Drosophila melanogaster: one gene and its partner. The protein of the gene in region 1 binds, or shares a complex with, the protein of each later gene. Each region holds a gene or a part of one and is shown in the gene's direction. Other genes may lie near its edges.

The links. The genes of interacting proteins can lie anywhere in the genome.
Region 2: Nup75 (region 1) and Nup93-1 share a complex: the UniProt entries of both Drosophila melanogaster proteins name them as parts of the nuclear pore complex.

The regions. Positions count from the first base shown.
Region 1 is NT_033778.4:18,165,334-18,170,233, reverse strand, and holds the start of Nup75 (nucleoporin 75kD), read left to right. Parts: upstream 1-3,093; 5' UTR 3,094-3,162; coding exon 3,163-3,189; intron 3,190-3,246; coding exon 3,247-4,409; intron 4,410-4,470; coding exon 4,471-4,816; intron 4,817-4,883; coding exon 4,884-4,900. Other genes in the region: Dgp-1, read left to right, coding at 1-1,209; CG42518 (uncharacterized protein), read right to left, coding at 1,942-2,026, 2,096-2,268; MED9 (mediator complex subunit 9), read right to left, coding at 2,297-2,461, 2,513-2,576, 2,712-2,917. UniProt on the Drosophila melanogaster protein: Component of the nuclear pore complex (NPC) that seems to be required for NPC assembly and maintenance. Required for nuclear import of phosphorylated Mad via importin msk.
Region 2 is NC_004354.4:13,820,221-13,824,470, forward strand, and holds the start of Nup93-1 (nucleoporin 93kD-1), read left to right. Parts: upstream 1-2,605; 5' UTR 2,606-2,706; coding exon 2,707-2,867; intron 2,868-2,930; coding exon 2,931-3,111; intron 3,112-3,190; coding exon 3,191-3,994; intron 3,995-4,067; coding exon 4,068-4,250. Other genes in the region: Clic (chloride intracellular channel), read right to left, coding at 1,705-1,788. UniProt on the Drosophila melanogaster protein: Required for nuclear pore complex assembly, maintenance and function. Required for nuclear import of phosphorylated Mad via importin msk. Has no role in classical nuclear localization signal (cNLS)-dependent nuclear import via importin-beta.

The DNA.
Region 1 (4,900 bases):
GGCATGACTAAGGAACATCTTGGTCTGGCCTTGGCTCTAGCCGTGCCCGTTTTCGTGGTGGTCACTAAGATTGACATGTGCCCGGCCAACGTGCTGCAGGAGAACATGAAGCTGCTCTTTAAGATGCTCAAATCCCAGGGCTGCCGCAAGGTGCCGGTTGTGGTGCGTTCGCACGACGACGTTGTCCTAAGCGCTACGAATTTCGTTAGCGAGCGTCTGTGCCCCATCTTCCAGGTGTCGAATGTGACCGGTGACAACCTGGAGCTGCTCAAAATGTTCCTCAACCTTCTCAGCACGCGAATGCCCGGCTCCGAGAGTCTGCCGGCCGAGTTTCAAATCGACGATGTGTACGCGGTGCCGGGTGTGGGAACTGTTGTGTCCGGTACATGCCTTCAGGGCACTATTCGGCTAAATGACTGCCTGATGCTTGGTCCAGACGCGGTGGGTTCATTTGTGCCCATCACCATCAAGAGCATCCATCGCAAGCGCATGAACGTGGCACGCGTGCGCTGTGGCCAAACAGCAAGCTTTGCGTTAAAGAAAATAAAGCGCGCCTATCTGCGCAAGGGCATGGTAATGGTGTCGCAGGATCTCAAACCGCAAGCCTGCTGGGAGTTCGAGGGAGAGATACTAGTGCTCCACCATCCGACGACGATATCGGCGCGCTACCAGGCCATGGTCCACTGCGGCAGCATCCGCCAGACGGCCTCAATCATACACATGTCGCGCGACTGCCTGCGAACAGGCGACAAGGCACATGTGAAATTCCGGTTCATCAAGCAGCCGGAGTACATACGCGCCGGTCAGCGCCTGGTCTTTCGCGAGGGACGCACCAAGGCTGTTGGCAATATACTGCGTCCGCTACCGAATGCTGCCGCTAGCCCATATCGCCCCAAGCCCGCCAAGATGCAGTCGCGCTCACATAACGGCGGCAGCAACGGCAGTAACAACCAGCACCGCCAGCAGGGCCAGGGCAGCTCCTCGGGCGCCGGATGCAGCAAGGACAACGCCGACGAGAAGCAGAACGGCGACAAGCGCGAGGGTGGCAGCCGGCGAGGTGGCAAGCGGAAAAGAAATAATCGCCCGACTCCGTCCGGCGGCGTTGGGGTGGATCCATCCAATGGCTCGGCCTCTTTGGGTCTGCCCCTCGGCGAGAATCCTTCGTCGTCGTCCTCGGTTGAAGTCACACCGGCCGCTCTCACCGAGTGAAGTGCGCCGCCTGCATGTTTTGGCTCTTTCTAGTTTTGTAAACTAAAGTATTTTTTTTTCAAATTCTTAAAGATAATTGGATGAATTTATTTTGCGACCTTCTAATCTAAAGTGGCATGTGCCCCAATAAACTATTTCGTGTCCCGTTCTTGTCCACTGTACATTGTGCTATATGCCAAACCAAATTCTATATTTTGTTTGTTCACTAGACTTAAGACAACCGACGTCACTGCAGCATGGATTTCATTTGTCTTTTCACTGAATAAACGCAGGTTGAACCAGATGCTACTTGTGTACATGATATTAAATTATCTCTCGATAAACTTAAATAGACACGACTTTATAAATTGGAATCTTAAATTAAAATCTTATAGTTTAAGATGAGTTTAATGTCTATGCAAACTGAAAATGAAAACAAATTTGCTGACGCAAATTACGTTGAAAGCGTTGTAAATGCAGACATTAGGTTATTATTTGATTTTTTTGTAAAACGATAGTTTCAGAATGACAATCTGAAGTTCTCTTTTGTTTTTAAGTGTTAAGATAAAATGGCAATGAATAAGGATTTCTTTGTTTCCTAATTACCTTAATAAAAGCAATTTCCTATTCTACAAAAATAAGGTTCATTCACCGAAGATAATGTTCTGGCTTCAATGTTTATTCATCTGTGTTTACTAAAATTTATCTTGCCGCGTATATACAATTGTAGTTAAACAAGTTAATTACTGAACCCTAGTTCTTTTTCTTGCTATTAAGCTCCTTCTTCACTCCCTCCAGCTCTTGGCGCACGTTGTTCTTAAACATGTTAACGAAGGATCTACAATTTGGAAAATGCATGTCAGATTGGCGGATTCAGCCAGATGATTCTGGCGATTCTTTCACTCACTTGAAACGCTCTGGCGTCATCTCGTGCAGTCCCTGCTCCCGGGCCAAGTCTTTTGTGCGGTACATCAGGGAAACGACCAACTGGGCAGCGCGTCTCATGGGATAGCTCTCCGCCATGCGCTGGATGAGCTGCTCGTTGTTGGCCAGGTAGCGCATTAGCAGTCGCAGCACCATCTTGCCCTTTTTTTTATTTTGCTGCCGCCTAGAACTCTGTGTCCTTGTATTTGCGAATTAGCTGCTGCTTAAGCTTCAGCTGATTTCGCAGTAGTTCCAGTCTCTGTTGCTGCTCCTCCTTATTGAAATCGATCCCGGGGAGCTGGCGGATTTGCTCGCGTGCCGATTCGAAGCGTTTTTGAAGTTCAAAGATCTACAAATCAAGTATATAGCGGTGGCAACTTATGACGAACCAAGGACTCACCTTGTGGTTGCAATCCTGGGACTCGCGCAGCTTAACGGCGTTCTCCAGAGGATCCTTTTCCACGCTGAAAGACACAAAGACGCCAGGTTATATAAGGTGCGGCATTAATTGCGCACTTGTTGCTAAAATCCGCCGATTTTCGGCATTGTCCGTGCAGGGGCAATGACACCCGGAATCCGCATCCGCGATGACCACTCACCAGCGCACAATGTCGTAGATTATCGGCAGAATCTCAATGTCCAACTGGTCAACCGTCAGATGGCACTGGCCGCCGATTCCGTTGGATGTTTGCGTCTCCTGCGATATGGTCGGCTCGAAGGGGGAGTTCGAAGTCTGAACCAGGCCGTCGGCGGTTAGGATGGGTTTTCTGTCCTCGATCTGATTGTTTGGCGACAAATCCATCATAAAAAACACGAATCGAATTTCCAGCGTCAGAATCAATAGGACCTTACCGACAACACGTAATAATACCAAAGTAATGCCCTCACATTCTCTTAATTCGATTAATATACTAAAGGGAAAAGTAGTAGATGCACAACCTGCTATCGAAGTACGATAGACCGATAGAGCCAGGCAAATGCCGCCTCTGCTTATCGATAACAAGCAACGAATCGTTTAGAATTTATAAAGAAGAAAAACATAAAGCCAACATGAGCGACAGCGGTGTTTTCGCCTTCGTAAGTAGCTGCACAAATAAAAAACTCAATAGATTAAACCTCGTTTAATCTATCTAGGAGCTTGGCGATGACCTAGCCACACGCTGTGGCAATACACTCACTGGCGTCTTTGTGCCGGGCTCACGAATCGCACTCAGCGCCTACCGGCATGTGACGCACAGTTCGCGGGATGAGCCCACAGAGAATGCTGGACAGGTTCCGGTGCTCATCTACATGGCGCAGGAGTCGACGCTGTTCGACGAACCCGTTCTCCGCAGCGTACTCGCCGAGGCGAATGCCACGTTCGCCACGCTGCAACAGTTGGGTTCGCGGGCCACACGTGCCGAGTATGTGAATATATCCCGGGCATACAGGAGCATTGTGCGCTCATGCCTGGAGAAGCTGGAGCAGGCAAAAAAATCGCCGGAGGTTCAGACAGATGAGGCGCGCCTGCAACGCTTATGTGATGCCATCGTTGTGTTCTATGCGGCAGAATGCCTGTGGCATCTCTTCGAGATTCTGTACATTCAGAGCAATCAGCTGGTGGTGCCGCAGCTGCTCGACTGGGCGCGTTTCCACTCGCCGCACGCAGAGGACAGAGCCACGGATCTACTGCTCATGGGAGAGGAGGCCAGCGAATCTGATGACTATTGGAGCATTGTCAAATCACTCATTATGCTGGGCGAAATAGATGTTACGAGAGCAGTTCTCTCGCAGAATCGCAAAGCTGGACAAACGAGCTTCAAGGCGGCCGAACAGATCCTGAAGTCCATGCCAGTGTATCAAGAGGGCTATGCCCTGCAGAAGTTTCACTCGCAGTGGGAGTTCTGGCACGTGGATACGGAACGCAAGATTCAGTCCGGCTTATTTGCCACGGAGCCGGAGCTGGAGCAGTTGATTCGTCTGGTCGCCGGCGACAGCGAGCAGTGGGATGCTGGCATCAAAGAGTCCCAGGATTTCTATGAATACCTGCCAGGATACCTGCTCTTTACCAAGCCCACCTGCAAACCCTTTGAGCTGAAAATAGCGGCAGCCAAATGGCTAAACCGATGGTGTCTTCTCCGGCCGGAAAGAGAGCAGTGCAGCATGAACCGCATGGTTTCTCAGCTTATGGATCACGATCTTAGACTATTTATATACGATGCTCAAAAACTTAACGACACACACTGGTTCTCAACGCATTTGATTGATCTTATCCATCATTGTGGTCAGCTGAAGAGCTATTTCGATCAGAACAACATGTGAGTTTTTTTGTCAGAAGTTATGTTCAATCAATATGCTATATATTTTATGCACCCACAGCGATCTTCCGGCCCTGCGTCACTCAATGATCTATGAGTACGGCAGCTATCTGATGACGTCCCACAATATGTGGCAACTGGGCATCGACTATCTGGACTGTTGCAAGCAGGAGGGTCAGGCGGCTATCGAGCTGCTTTTGCCCCGAATCACTTTGCGCAGCGAGCGGCAAGCCACCAAGCTTATTAACCTGGCCAGGCAGCGCGGGCTCATAAGCGTAGAACGGGAGATCTGCAAGGTGCTTTCAAAGCGATCCTACGATAACGAGCGTTATGGAAACGCCCTGGAATGGGCCATTCGCTCCAAGGATGTGCTGCTGGTTACGGCGGTAGCTGACTTTATTTTAAAGGTAAATATAAACTATTTTTGCATAAGTATTTCATTCAATTTGATTTGTATATTGATCTGTGGCATAGCATTACTCGAAAACTGG
Region 2 (4,250 bases), on another chromosome or scaffold:
TTCAGCCATTACATATCGTATTGCTGTTTAATTTGGAAACAAAACTGGTTACGAAACCCTATTCGAAGTACACGATTGCTCATGTCAGTTGTTTAGCGTCGAGTGGGGTTTTTTTTTTCTTTTTCTTTCGGGAATCGAATGGTATAACACATGGTATATTGTACTGTTTGGGTTTAGGCAATGCAAAGGTGAGGGAAATTACTCATGGGCAGACGACTCGAGGTGCGGTCTCCATTTGCGTGGGCTGGATGAGTGGCCAAGTTGAGTCGAGTCGAGTTTGCCAATAGAATCAACAACAGCAGGGCTCCAAAGTGTTCCGAAAACAATTACAATTACTTCGGCAAACAGTGGGAACCAACAAAAGAAACAAAATTAAGTGGACTCATGCTCGACTTACAATTCCGGGGAAAGAAATAGATTGCGGCCTCTACTATAATACAAAAAAAAAAACCAAAGGGTTCGTAATCTTTCTTTGACTCATTTTGCAATAATATCACCTTTAAGAAAGATGCCAATGAACAATTGTTTTATCACATGTTTTTTTTTCCACTATCGAAGAACAGAACTGATAAGAAAAGCGTTGTATTCGAGGAGAAAAAATCGAACAAGTTTTTATTATCGATTATTTGTAATACATAAAGAAATAAAACACTACATATTGAGCAATCTAAAGTTAAGTTCTATGATTTAAATTCATTTAATTAATCACACTTTAGGAATCTTGGCTTCTCAATGCTATTATCTTGACCGCAAATGTGCGGAGTGCTAGCTTTTTGTTTTCTTCGATTCTTTGGAGGAGCATGACGTATGTGTCAAGAAATTTAGAAATCACTAAAAGATAAAAAAGAACCTCTAATTCACACACACACACACAGAGAGAAACATGCTGATGGTTGCGAAGGGGGGCGATGCGGGGGGCTTAGGAGAACTATGATGAAGGAGCATTTGTTGAGCAATTGGCGCAATGAAATGTGATTAAATTTTTTAGCAGATAAGAACCGAAGTAATATGTTACGTTCCACAAATTTCAGACTGTGCGCACACAGCAATATCATGATTAATTGTTAATTATAAAATATTAAAAAGATATTTCATATGAACAGCTTGGTATGCTCGGATAATTTGGAAAAAGGGCGGCTTTAGAGTATTGCACCAAAAAGGTATGCTGTAATATTTAATTTGGATGCTTTATAATGGTAATCATGGAGTTCTGAAAATCATAACTCAATCAACAATTTCGTTCTGTGCAGATGTGCCCGAATGCATGTGTATGCGATAGTGTGCGTGCGTGTGTGTGTATGTGTGTGTGTATGTGTGTGTGAATGTGCGATAGGGAGAAAAGGAGAAAACCGGTTTTGGCGATGCTTAGGAACCGCAAGGCGAAAGGGGAACGTCGGCGAGAGGGGAGGGGGCGGTGTGTGCTAAACGTATTCTGTTCGTTTTAACCAAATGTGACACACTGCAAAGTGCCACAGTGAGAAGAAGAAGAAGAAGACAACGAAGAACGAACAGGGGTAAGAAGCCGAAAAGAGGGAGGAGGAGGAGAAACAAACGGCAGTTCGCGTTTTCCCAGTCGCTTCTTGTTTTTGCCTTTGTTTGCATTTGCTTCTGCTTTTGCCCCGGCTGCATTTTCACTCTGCACGGAAATTTGCGCAGAGCGAAATGGAAAACTGCAGGGGTATGCAAATGTCGCTGTTCGCTCACCTTTATGATCAATTCTATCTCGGGCACATCGAATTTACTGCTGCCGTTCGTCTCCTGGCTCTGCTGCGATTCAACTTCCGACATTGCGATATTGTTATTATTTTTATCGTTTATTCTCGATATCTCTGATCAGATCGAAGAGTTTTTTTCTTTATCCGCGTGACGAGGTGCGTGCGTGTTCGTTTCCTTTTCGCTTTTGTTGTGCTAATTTCCTTTGCCAATACACACACTCACGTACACAAGCTGTAACACACACAGGCAGCACACTCACACACACACAGAGAGACGGAGGGAAGAAGAAGCTCGCCTCGCAGTGTTTAAAAAAAATATGCCGTTCTGTTCTACGATTTGCGCGCTGCTAAAGTCTATTCACGATTGAATTGGTTAGCCGCTGAATAAACCAATCTGCACTGCGCGAAATACACTAACGCCTGCTGTTCAGTGTTACCAGACGGTCCTGCCTTTCGGCCGGCCTATAAATACCAAGCTAATACCAAATGTTTTTAAAGTTGTACTTACAACTCCCTCTCAATAACAGTTGTTATTGGGACATTTCAATAACAGATTGCGTAATACCAAAAATACCTTATACCTACAAAACTCCCATTTGTTCTCAATTTATTCCCCAATATATCGATATTCCATAAAAATTTTGAAATTTCGCGTTCGGGGAAATCGACTATTTTCTTTGTTTTTATAACAACTTTTAGGTATTGAGAAATAATTTCTTAGTCTGCTATCTATATAAATTTTTCAATTTAATGATTTTAATTATCAAATATTCCTTTTAAATTATATACCATCTGTAGACATTATTATAGTTATTCTAACATATAACAGTTGTACTATTAAATATACCAAAAAGAATACCACCGATTGCAAACATTTTATGGCGCCGAAATAATCCGGACTGCGACCAGGTGGCAGCACTAGCAGCTTGGTGTGCGCTTCGTTGGAAATATCATTTTATTGGCACCGGCTTTTCCATCCCAATATCACGACATGGATCTGATGGAACTGCTGAAGCAGGCCCAGCGCCTGACGAACGAGACCAATACGGACACGGAGGTGCCGGGCGTGGAACGGACCATGTCCCAGGTTCTGCAGGCAACCAAGGAGTTTCACTCGCGTGTCACCCAAATGGGCACCAATGATCTGCAGGCGTGAGTAGTTCGCTATAGGCCAGGCGCCAAAAATTGTCATATTAACCGGTCATTCAAATGCAGCCACATACTGCTCGGCTCTAAGGGCGTGGACCTGCCCAAGCTTACACAGAAGCTGGAGTCGCTCAGCGCCCGCCAAACCTTCGAGCCGATTGATCCGGTGACGGAGACCAATGTGCAGGCCTATCTGAAGAACGAGCGGGAGAACGCCATACTCTCAGTTATCGATGAGACGAATCGCAGTGTGAGTGCGCCAAATGACATGCTTCAGGCAGACACCCAAAATTCTGAACTTTCTATCTCCATTAACCAATCCATTGCAGATATTTAAATCTGTGGAGCGACAGAAGTGGCGTTGCATCTACTCGGAGTGGGGCGAGGAGAAGGAAGCGCTGCTAAACGCTCTGGTCGGACCAAACCAACAGGACTTCCCCGACGTCCAGTTTCAGATAGTGCCCACGGCCATGGCTGATGAGCCCACTCCGTACTCCCAACTGAATGGCCATGAGCAGATGTACGCTGAACAGATCGCCATCCACAACCAGTCGATCATCCTGGGCAGACGCCCTAACTTGCTGTCGACCCTTGCCCACGTGGTCCAAGACTCCTTCAACGATGAGTCCGTAGCCGAGATGTGGAATGTATTGCAGTTTATGACCGCGTTGCCGCCAGTCTCGAGCACCATCGATCCAATCAAGAATCGTCAGACATCACCGCAATTCGTTGAGCAGGCCCGCACGTACTTGGAGCGCAGATATAGGACGTATATGAGAAAGTTTATCGTCGCGAATTTGGCCAAAGCGCGGCGGGGAGGAATCCCCAGCGTGTACCATATGGTCCGCTCCTATGTGGGCGTTACTCTCCAGGGGCAGCGAGCCCTCTACGGGCTGCATGACGTGAACAATGGCCAGCCATTGTGGCCACATGTTTACTATAGCTTGCGGAGTGGCGATATGGACGCGGCTGCGTTGTATCTCAAGGAATCGGGAACCTGCCCCGACCTGCTTACGCTATTGACGTTGCGAAAGAACGGCGATAGGGACAACTTGATGGTAAAGCTTGAGGGTCAGCTAAAGTTGGAGTACAACAGTAGACTGCGCGCCTGTACGGATCCCTACAAAAAGGCGGTGAGTGCTCATCTTTTGCTACAACTTGTTGCGTATATTCGTGCTAATCATATGTTTTTCTCTTTTCCATTAGGTATACGTCGTATTGTTGGCGTGTGATCCGCACTTCACTCACGTAGAACTAATGCGCAGCATCGACGACTTCCTGTGGATGCAACTGTCCATTCTGCGCAGGTCGGACCAAAGCGACAGCAACACGGAGCAGCTAACGTTCAGCGGCCTGCAATCGCTCATTTTAGAAAAGTACGGCGAGAAC